Rattus norvegicus: one gene and its partners. The protein of the gene in region 2 interacts with the protein of the main gene of each other region in a biochemical or structural test. Links are inferred from orthologs where the notes say so. Each region holds a gene or a part of one and is shown on either strand. Other genes may lie near its edges. The genes, in order: Pck1, Ubr5 and Paip2.

The links.
Region 1: the proteins of Ubr5 (region 2) and Pck1 form a complex in vitro, tested with the Homo sapiens proteins (2 studies listed by BioGRID, with this or other methods). The link is inferred for Rattus norvegicus from reciprocal best matches to the Homo sapiens genes UBR5 and PCK1.
Region 3: the proteins of Ubr5 (region 2) and Paip2 form a complex in vitro, tested with the Homo sapiens proteins (2 studies listed by BioGRID and IntAct, with this or other methods). The link is inferred for Rattus norvegicus from reciprocal best matches to the Homo sapiens genes UBR5 and PAIP2.

The regions. Positions count from the first base shown.
Region 1 is NC_086021.1:182,347,386-182,351,134, reverse strand, and holds the start of Pck1 (phosphoenolpyruvate carboxykinase, cytosolic [GTP]), read right to left. Parts: upstream 2,564-3,749; 5' UTR 2,462-2,563; intron 2,290-2,461; 5' UTR 2,249-2,289; coding exon 2,025-2,248; intron 1,653-2,024; coding exon 1,471-1,652; intron 911-1,470; coding exon 707-910; intron 439-706; coding exon 251-438; intron 1-250. UniProt on the Homo sapiens protein: Cytosolic phosphoenolpyruvate carboxykinase that catalyzes the reversible decarboxylation and phosphorylation of oxaloacetate (OAA) and acts as the rate-limiting enzyme in gluconeogenesis.
Region 2 is NC_086025.1:71,005,256-71,008,904, forward strand, and holds part of Ubr5 (E3 ubiquitin-protein ligase UBR5), read right to left. Parts: intron 2,607-3,649; coding exon 2,451-2,606; intron 2,215-2,450; coding exon 2,101-2,214; intron 672-2,100; coding exon 527-671; intron 1-526. UniProt on the Homo sapiens protein: E3 ubiquitin-protein ligase involved in different protein quality control pathways in the cytoplasm and nucleus. Mainly acts as a ubiquitin chain elongator that extends pre-ubiquitinated substrates.
Region 3 is NC_086036.1:27,474,268-27,478,016, reverse strand, and holds the start of Paip2 (polyadenylate-binding protein-interacting protein 2), read right to left. Parts: upstream 2,740-3,749; 5' UTR 2,681-2,739; intron 1-2,680. UniProt on the Homo sapiens protein: Acts as a repressor in the regulation of translation initiation of poly(A)-containing mRNAs. Its inhibitory activity on translation is mediated via its action on PABPC1.

The DNA of each region.
Region 1 (3,749 bases), on a different chromosome or scaffold from region 2:
CCATGATCCGTCCCTCCTGCATCGGGGTAAACTGATGGGGTGCAGAGGAATAAAATTCCCACTGTCAGTGTTGCTCTAGTGTGTCTGAGCCCCTTCCCAAGAGACGAACGCTGGGGGTACTTAGAGTCACCTCGGCGTTGACTCCAATCTGCCCTTAAGTCCTCAGAGGTTGGGGAATCTCGACATGGCCCACCTTTGCCACCCCAGGCCCTCCGAATTTCCCGCCCAGGATTCCCCGACGACCACGTACCAGCATGTGCTCCGCCAGCCACCCTTCCTCCTTAGCCAGCCTGCTGGCGATCCGCAGCGCAAAGCATTTCTTCCCAAGCAGTGAGTTCCCACCGTATCCGCTTCCGAAGGAGATGATCTCTCTGCGGTCCGGGAGGTGAGCAATCAGGGTCAGCTCGGGGTTGCAGGCCCAGTTGTTGACCAAAGGCTCTGAAAACAAGCAAAGCAGTCGTGAGCTTGCGATACACACATCCCTGCCCAAGTCTCCAGGCTGGCCTCGAACCAGCTACGGAGCTGAGAGGGACCTGGAACTGATCCTTCTGACTCCTGAGTGCCGGGGTGATAGGCCTGTCCCAGCATGATCAGTTGATTTGGTGTCCGGCATCAAACTCGGGGCCTCTTGCACCCTGGGTGAGCATCCTACCCACTAAGCCCTTCCCCGAACTCTTCCCTTTTGATCTGGAAAGGAGGTACTTACTTTTTAAGGGGAGAGGGCACCCCACGGAGTGGAGGCACTTGATAAACTCCCCATCGCCCAGGGCCTCCAGCACAGAGGTCCCCATCCGTGTCATGATCCGCATGCTGGCCACCACATAGGGCGAGTCTGTCAGCTCAATACCAATCTTGGCCAGAGGTGAGCCCAGCGGCCCCATGCTGAATGGGATGACATACATGGTGCGGCCTGCAGAGGTGGATGGGTAGAAATAGGTAAGAAGCCAAGGAGGCCCTCTGAGCTTCCTTGACTCATCTTCCAGCTACGTCTTCCACACCATGCCCTACTGGCCACCAGCCTCTGGTTTCAGAGACCAGTAGAAACAGCAAAATGCTGAAATTAAACTTTTCACAGCCCCCCTGTTTGGCTGAATTTAGCTGCTTTACGTCCACATGAATGGGAAGCATTTTGTGTGTGTGTGTTTTCTGCTTTATCTATTTGACATTAAGGATTGGAGCCAGGGCCTTGGAAATTCTAGGCAAACACCCCACCGTGGAGACTGTTTCTTTTGAGACCAAGCTGTAAAGTGCTCAGGCTGGCCTTAAACTTTGAATGCCCCTGCCTCAGCTTCCATGTCTGAGATGACAGGTCGGAGCCACCCGTACTCTCAGAGAACAATTTGATATTCCGTGAGACAGAACCAGACGGCGAGCTTCGCACGCGGGCCACCCTTTGCAGCTCAAGCCACCACCGGGAGCGTGAACTGTGCACACAGCACACTGTCAGGCCTGGGGTCTGGCCTCACCCACCTTTCATGCACCCCGGGAACCTGGCGTTGAATGCTTTCTCGAAGTCCTCTTCTGACATCCAGCGGCCCAGCTGGCTCTGCCCACTTTTGGGGATGGGCACGGTGTCTCTCTGCTCTTGGGTAATGATGACCGTCTTGCTTTCGATCCTGGCCACATCCCTGGGGTCAGTGAGAGCCAGCCAACTGAAAAAGTCACAGGGATGCCTTCAGCAAGGTACCCTTGGGGATGTACCTCTCTTGCCTACCTCAGGCTCTTCCCGGCCTTGCAGACACAAGGACGTTGACCGTGTTACTTAGGTATGGAAGCCAAGCCAACGGGAACTTGACCAGGTAGACATTTGCTAAGCCATGAGCTGGCCCTAGGGAAAGGGGCCGCCTTGCATGGCTATCTGGAATCTAGAAGCTGGCTATGCTAACCTCACAGGGTGTCTGGATTCTGACTGATCTCCTAAGCTTCTCAGGCGTTTGCTACTGCAAGGGTCTTTATTCTCCAGACTCCGAGAAGGTAGAGCTGAGGAGCCTGTAGGCCAGAGACTTTGGGCTGAAGGGACTCACCAGTTGTCATATTTCTTCAGCTTGCGGATGACACCCTCCTCCTGCATGTGGGCCAGCAGCCGCCCGTACTCCTCCTCGGAGCCGTCGCAGATGTGAATATACTCTGGCTGGCACAGCTGGGCATTGCCTTCCACAAACTTCCTCACTTCCTGGGGCAGGCTGTCGAGGCTGCCCTGGATGACCTTGGCAGAGAAGTCCAGACCATTATGCAGCTGAGGAGGCATTCTTGCAATGGTGTGGAGAGAGGCAGGGACTCTGGTGCCACCTGAAACAAAAAGAGAGGCTCTTGAACACCGGCACCCATGGGCCCTTCCCGTTCCTTCTGTAGACTTTGCATGAGTTGCACATGGCTAGAGGGCCTTGGTTGTCAGGGCAAAGACTGTGAGTGGACCCCTCAGTGGTACTTTTGGAGAGGAGAGTGGAATGGCCCTGCCTACCTTTCTTCCTCCTTTTGGAAGGTCTGGATCAGAGATCTCAGAGCGTCTCGCCGGATTTCCCCTGTTGGCCAAGGGTGTGTTCCCAGAGGGAAGGCCAACCGTGCTTGGTAGCTAGCCCTCCTCGCTTTAAATAGTATACAGAAGGGAGGACAGCCCTGCCCCTCAGCTGGACCTGGAGGCTCGCCTCTGACGTAAGGGGCCGGCCTTTGGATCATAGCCATGGTCAGCACGGTTTGGAACTGACCTAACACAATAAACTTTGGGGAGATAATGATTGAACTTGCTGTTGTTAATGAATGTTGGGAGGCCTCAGGCCCCCGTGTCAGCCATAGTTGAGTCCTTACACAACGTTTGATTGACTAAACTTTGACCGTGACTGTTGCTGATGCAAACTATAGGCTCTTGCCTTAATTGTCAGGTGGGGGTCAAGGACAGGGCTGGCCGGGACGCCTCTTGGACTTCATATGCTGCTGGCTGCACATTTTGTGTGCCAGTGGCTGCTGGTTGTCAAAACACCACAGCTGTGAGGTGTCACTCCCACGGCCAAAGGTCATGAGAAGGGAATTCAGCTCTGAGACGTGAAACTTCTAGACAAAGTCTGCAACAGCCGAGTTGGCTGGGGTGTGTTACCCCACTAGGTGTCTGCTGGATCCTCTGGCCACCCCAAGATGAACTGCAGAGGGAGGGGTGATTGTAAGCTTCATTCCGAGGAGGCAATGCCTGATATAGAATAATCACTCTATATACATACTGACCCCTGCTCTAAATGTTTTATGTCAGCTCATTCATTACTACTGCCTGAAATGGAACTATGACAGCCCTGGGTACAGGCTGGGAAACTGAGGCAGAAAGAATACTAAGCAGGTCCAGCTGGCTGGTGAGAACCAGAAGAGTTACATGTCAGTCAGGCTGGGCTGCAGAGAACCGTTGGATCCCCTGTCTTCTCTAGTCCCCTTAATGTCTTTTTCAAGACATTCTAGGTTGGACACAATCACCCTTGGAGCTGCCTGGATTCTTCTTGCATCCAAGAGTCTAGGGAGAGGAGGGGAAGGGGCTTGGCAGTTCTACTGGGCTACACTTGAGCAGCGAGACCTTTATCCCAGTTGTGAAGAACCTTCTCTGCAAGACACAGACCTTCACGCCAATTGAACGAGCCGAGAGAAGTTGCTCACTGGAGTTTAGAAGTGAGTGAGAAGTCAATCAGAGAGAGCCCATTGGGCAGGGCTGGCTCCCACAGCTGGGCTCAGAGTAGGGGGCAGGGACATGGCCTACTTCCCTGTAGGCAGGA
Region 2 (3,649 bases):
GAATGTCTAAAAAATAAAAACAACTTTAAGGCAAATCACACACTGAGATAAAGCTTATTTGCAAATGATTATAATCATTTTTTTTCTTTTGCTTCTGGAGTCATGTGAATTTTGTCTTTACAATAAAGTGACCACCCAGTCACAACTCTAGAAACCAAACATTATGTGATCATGTTCTTTGACTATCGGAGGTACAGGAAACATTTATTATTTTTATTACTTTAGCAATAACATCATTTTCCCACCACGAAAAAATTTTACTGTGTTCAAAATTTGTTTGGATGTGAGCACACACACACAGATTTTTTTAGACAGGTTCTCACTATGTATCCAAAGCTGACCTCGAACTTCAGATCCTCCTGCTTTGGCCTCCCATAAGGAACAAAAGAATAGCCTAATTCTAAGTTAACAAAATACTTAATCATACCTTTAAATGTAATGAGAATAAAAACTCAGGCCTGATTGCTTACAGGGCTTGGGAAGAAGACTTGGCTTTTACCTCTCAGAAAGACGTGCAGTTTCCTACCTGACTCATCATTGAAAGACGTGAAACTGATGAGCATCTGCACATTGACTTCACCACAGCCGTTCACCAAAAGTCGGAAATCCTCTGCTGTTAAGTCTTCTAAAGAATTTTTTGGAAGCACATCTAGTAGACCCTTTCTCATTGCCTAGAGAATTTAAATTATTTCTTTTATTGTAAGAAGTACTTTATTTTCCAAGGCATCTGTTTATACTATTAAAACTCAATATCTAATTTTAGCAGCATTCTCTAAAAACATTAGTTCTCTAATGCGAGGAGAAAGAGTAGGGCTGAATTATTGTGACTTTCCTCTTAACAAAGTCAAGAAAGAACAATGGAAAAGTTGAGCACAGCAAACAGGCTGCAGTTCAGAAGTTGCTTAGTGTTCTTACATCCCAGTAGAAAAGGGAAACTACTTTTTAAATTATAACATATTAAATATAATTATATTTAATTATAATTATAAATAACACAGACAGCATATGAGTTAAGCATCACTTCAGTTGGTGAAAGTGCATCCCAGAAAACAATAAAGACAAACCTCCCAGACTCAAACCCAAAATCTATTGGGAAATGTACCACCCAGAGCTATGCTAAGTATCTGGGGTGCATTAATGGTTCGATCTTGGCCTCCTCATTTTGCAGAAGGAAAGCCATGAGCAGAAGTACTAAGTAGCCTGCCAAAGTGCAGCTAGAAAGTAGTCAGGAACTTCATCTCAGTACAACAATTCCCAGCACAAGAATCAGAACCACTCTTGGCTTACAGGAATTTTATCCTGCAAAGGGAAAGCATTAACACCGCAGGAACCATGTGCTGATTCTTCTGAAGGGGCCTGAATGCAGAGCTGGTCCTTGGGTCACTGTCTTGAGGACTTATGTTTGGAATGCCTCTCCACTGCTGTGACTAGGGCAATGACCCTTCTGATAGATAAGCCATGTTATTTGTGCTGACAATATGGTGGAAACATGCTTTCCTCTAAAACTGCAGTAGTGGCAGCTGGCTGTACAGCGAGGAAACACTAATAGGACTAGCCACCAATAAAAACCCTGGGCTGTGACTCTCTGAGGCTTCCCTGAGCAACGTTCGTCGTACATGTGCTGAAGCACTTTATACTGAGTATATTGTCTGTGACAGCCCACATGAAAACATGTACCCTGAAGCTTGTACATGAACCCTTCAGGTTCTACCTAACACAGCCTCCTCCTCTGCTTATGCTGCTGGGGTGTCTTTACGTTTACTAAGTGTAACTGGCTGAAGTCAGTGAATCCTTCTAACTAGGATATTCGTAAGGAGAGGTGGCCATAGGATGACTTAAGAAGTGTATTTAAGTCCTACAAGCCCCCTTTCAACTTTTGCTCACCAGAGCTACTCTTTTTGATTATACAGTTTTTCCAACAGTTATAGCCAAAAGTAAACGAGTACTTAGTCTGAACTCTTGAATTTAGTTGTAAACTCATTTTAAATTTGAAAACTTTGGCCTTTTGCAGAAGAACAGATTACTGGGCTAATTTACCACAATGCAAAAACAAAAAGTTTCACCACATGACATCCATTGAACTTTCTAGAAAATACTTACGTGCAATGGCTGTTCTGCAACCACCAGCATTCTGTGCTCCGCATATTTCCTTACATACTCATATACATTCTGCGGAGTGACTGGTATATTTACACCATTTGGAATAAGTTCAACCTACAAAAAGTTCAGCAGTGACATTTAAAAGCAATTCTGACAAGCAGTAACAGCTCAAGAGAACTTTCTACCTCACTCCTTCTTGATTCTTCTCTCTGTTCTCTCCTACAATGCTCATTTCGGGCATGTGCCTTGTCTCAATCTTTCTCTCTTGGTTCCTGCCCCAAACTGTCCTGTATTTGTCTAACAAATAACCCGATCCTCTCTCGAAGATCAGAAAACTGGGTTTGCTTTACCTGGCCTCCACCCTCTTCTTTACACAGGTCAACTGCAAACGCCAAGTCCATTGCTGAGAAAACAGCATCGGCATCTGAACTCTGAGATGCAAGGATCAGTTGTCGTAAACTCTCATACATCACAGGGTCGAAAAAAGCAAAGTCATGCCAGTTGACCTGGAGAATAATCATAAAAGTCAAGTGAAGCGTCCTTTCTCCATGCAACAGCAAATTAATCTGTAATGGCTTTACCTTTTCGGGGAGGGGAAGTGATAAGGATTGAACCCAGGAACTTGTGCACGCTAAATAAGTGCTCTACTACTGACCTATATCCCGGCCCTAATTTTATTTAACTTACAGGTACAGTGATAAAAGAATTTCCCACAAGATACATAAAACTGCTTTAAAGAGAGAAAAATTAGAAAGTCTTTGGCTTTGACAATTCATTTACTTTTTTTTAAAACAGGAATTAAAAAGTTAACTGCTATGAGGTGAAGCCAACAGCGTGCTTTTGTAGGAGCGGTAGTAACAAAAACAATAATTAGTTTCAAAAATAACTGGAAAAGCCAGCACAACTTATTGAACATTGATCTTGACTAAATATCCCATATGCTCTTGATAGTCACCATATGATACAGGTCACTAAATCCAAGTGACAAACTGGACTGTTCTAAGAAACTTGGTAACTTACAAAGCTCACATCACCAAGTTAAACTGAGGTCTAGCAGATCTCATGAGCTAAAGGGTCAACATATGAGTATTTGCATGTTTGAGAGCTTTGGTTTTCAAATTCTATGCATAAGAGCATTTAAACTTAAATTTGGTCTCGGCTAAAAAGGAAAATACATACTTCTCACTAAAATATCCTTATTTCTGATATATTCAGTGGTTTGGTTAAAAGCAATTAATTTGGTACTATTAATGTGATCACGTATCTTGGGATGAAGAGTGACAGGCTTCTGGAGTTATTTTGTGGAATGGATATGGTGTAACCATTTAACTGTGTTCTAAAGATTGTACGTTTAGTGCTGCTGTCGACTTTGTCGGAAGGGTTTTGTAGCCGTCAGTGTGACGGAAGACTCACCTGGTCAAAGTACAAGGATAACTGCTGAATGTCCAGCTATAAATAAATGAGAGATCTCTACCACCCTACCCAAGGCTCGATGTTCACTGCGAGAAAAAGTGGGTTGTGAGAGGTGTGTGTGCACCTGTGCGTGCAT
Region 3 (3,749 bases), on a different chromosome or scaffold from region 2:
AATTGTCTTTCTCCACTACTTTCATCTCTTAAGAATTGTCATTAAAATTCTAATAGAGTTATCTTCTGTTTCTTTTGTTTATTTGCACTGAAAGGTATTAATTTGTCTTCTGTTACTCCTTGGCACTGCACTCTTTATATTACCCCCTCCCACATGCACTCTATCTATTAGTCTACCAGTTTCTTCAGGAGTTAAATAAAAACAAATATTCTATCAGGCATGGTGATGCCTACCTGTAATTCTAGCACTCAAGGGGTTGAGGTAGAAAAACCCTGAGTTTGAGGCCATACCAGACTACATATTAAGTTCTAGGCCAGCCTGGAATATGAAATAAGACCTTGTCTCAAAAACAAAATAAGATTCACAAGAGAAAAATATTTTCATTAGTCTTTTCCACACAGAAGTTTTGGGGAAGCATTAAATTTCTGTCATAATGTTTGACACAAGATAATTACAAGAACATTCTAAGAGCCAGACACAGTGAAGCACACCTGTAACCTTAACCTGTAACTTCAGGGAGACTGAAATGAGAGAATCTGGAGTTTAAAAGGTTCGGTATGGGTTGGGGGCTGGAGATGGCTCAAAAGTTAAGAGCACTGGCTACTTTTCCAGAGGTTCTGAGTTCAATTCCCAGCAACCATAACCATGTGTAATGGATCCAATGAAGACAGCGTAGTTGTACACATAAGATAAATATACACATACATAAAATAATCTTTAAAAAGTTCATACTACTATGTATATAGCCAAGACTTATTTTCCAAAGGGGGTGGGGGGAAGCAAGCAAGCAAGTGGGAGTAGCTACAAGCTAGGCAGACAGTGTTAGAGCACGCCTTTGATTCTAGCAGTCAAGAGGCAGATCCAGGTTAGCTGGGGTTATATACTAAGCCTGGCTCATAAGATTAAAACAGCAGCAGCAGGGTTGAGGATTTAGCTCAGTGGTAGAGCGCTTGCCTAGCAAGCGCAAGGCCCTGGGTTCCGTCCTCAGCTCCAGAAAAAAAGAAAGAAAGAAGAAAAAACAAAACAAAACAAAACAAAAAAAAACAAAACAAAACAAAAAAACAAAACCAGCAGCCACAAATGCTGTTTCATCATCAGTCTGCTTTGTTCTTATTAGCTGTGTAATAAGTTATTGAAACGGAGTCTCACCTTCCTCACATGTAAAATGGGTAATTTTTTAAGTACCTAGGGCCGAAGAGGTGGCTAGCAGCTGAGAGTACTTGTAGAGTTCAGTCCTTAGCACCCACATGGTAGCTTACAACCATCATCCCTGGTTCCTACTCCACCCCCTCATCTTTGCAGCAGGTGTGCACATGCACGCACAAGAGCACGCACGTATACACCTTTTTTTTTTTAAAGATTACTTAATTTTATCTGTGTGAGTGTTTTCCCTACAGCTTCTGCCTCTACCTCCCGAGTGCTGGGATTACAGCAATGTAGCACTGGTGCTTACTTAGCCTCAACTTTCTAAATGCTAGGATTATAAACTTGATCTAATCAAACTCAGTTAACCATTTAGAACAATTAATCCTCTACAGGAAGATACAAGTTAAAAACCACATGTCCTATGCCTGTACAAGTCCAACAATGTTACAGAAAAATCCTAATTAAAGGCTAGGACTTGCCAGTGTGGTGGCAGACTCTAGAATTCCTAGCTACTTAGGAAGCAAAGAAGTAGGCAGTCTGGTTAATTTATCAGGACTTTGCCCCAAAGGGCTGGAAATGTTAGTTTTGCACTACAACAAAACAAAAATTATAACCCTAATGTTTATAACACTAATCTCCTTTATAAAAGTGAACTGGTAAAAATGTTAATTCTCCAGTTTAATCAAAAGCTCAACTATATCAGAAACACTACACTAATTTATGCAACCAGGTACTAAAATTAAGAGAGTTAATTCAAACCCTTCAGGCAGCTGACCATGTACAATGGCACCAATTAAAGTAATTAATTAGAATTTACTCTTTTAGTCCTTTAGTTGAGCCTGCCATATTTCAAGTATCCTCCACCCCAGGATCTCACTATGTAGCTATGGTTGGCCTTGAAGCTTCTGCCTTTTGAGTACTGGGATCAAAGGTGTTTGCTACCACATTAGGCCCTTTAACAGCCACAGGAATGCTGAGTTTCACAGAATTCAGCCACCACACAGTTTAATTAATATTTATAAAAGTACTTTGAACAATGCCTAACATGTTCCTGTTTTCTCAACTTTAAAGATTTATTTATTATATATAAATGTTATAGCTATCTTTAGATACACCAGAAGACGGCATCAGATCTCATTACAGATGGTTGTGAGCCACCATGTGGTTGCTGGGATTTGAACTCAGGACCTCTGGAAGAGCAGTCAGTGCTCTTAACCACTGAGCCATCTCTCCAATCCCTTTTCTCAACTTAAAATAGGTAAAAATAAACCTGTTCCATTTCACACGATGCTATATGAAAATACTTTATAAACTATAAAAAGATGTGAAAAGTCCAAAAGGTTATTAAATACTCCTTCAATCGTCCACAATACCCATTAAAATTGCTAACAGTGGACATCGTATAATTTCCATTAAAATGGAGGCAACACTATCTAGGGTTATAACGGGATAAACCTGAATAAGAGTTACTGTTTACTGGAGGGAAAACCTGGTATAAACTTACTCTGTCCCAAAGAGGATAGAAATTACCTACCTCGGTTTGAGTTCTCAAGGACCAATATGCACAGCCTTTAACCATTACAGTGAATCGCCATTCCCCCCATCCCCTAAAGAAACAGATAAATAGGGTATAATTTTTTTTGAAAGTTACCTATCTTTGGGATACATATTTGTGAGAATTGTTTTGTTCAAGACCACTAATACAGAGACTGTTCTCAATATCCCGTCATTAACAAACCAGAACCACAGAATAGGTACTGGAACTCATTAAAGTCCTTGCATAGACTTATCTAGTTGGAACAATCCACAGCTGAAATTTCAGACGCTACTAAATGAATCAACACCTATCCACTGCTAAAAGAAACGTGTGAAAAACGTGCTACCTTGATACAAGAAACTCTCAGCCAGCATACACAAATGAACGTTCACTGAAATAAGAGTCAAAGGCTGTCAGCAAACAGAAAACCAACTTCGTTCAAGGGTTTGGGGCTGCCAAATCTTTTAGACATATTTAGAAAATTACAGCAGGCTGCTTCAGCACCTTTTTAAAAATTAACCTCAACACAAGCCCTACTATCCTACTCTTTCCTTTCACTGAGGTGGTAGTGGTGGTGAATAAGCACATATTAACGAAAGGTAAAAGGACCAGTATCAAATCGTAAAAATTGAACGGGTCTTTTAAGTTTATCTAGCTAAAGCCTTGTGTGTTCCCAGCGCCCCCAAACAACGGCCCTATCTGAAGGACGTGATAAAGCTTAAAATAAAGGGGTAGGGATGTTGAAGAAATGGAAGAGGTTGAAAAAGATACAAGCCGTTCGACCGTTACAGAGTGCTCCCCAGGGACACCGCCAGCCTGCCAGTCCCTTTTCTCCCAAAACCCAGCATCCGCAGAAACGCGCAGGCGCAGCAGTAGGGCCTGCGCGTGGCGACGCGCAGGCGCATAGTGAGTAGAAACAATGAGCTTTGTTGCCCAAGTGGCAAAGGGGAGGCCGGGGGGAAACGGGGAGCAGGGGAAAAGGCACCGAACAGGGTAAAAAAAAAAGGACTGACTGAGGAACGCAAGAAAGTGCTATCCCGGCAACACTCGCGCGCCACAAAAGACC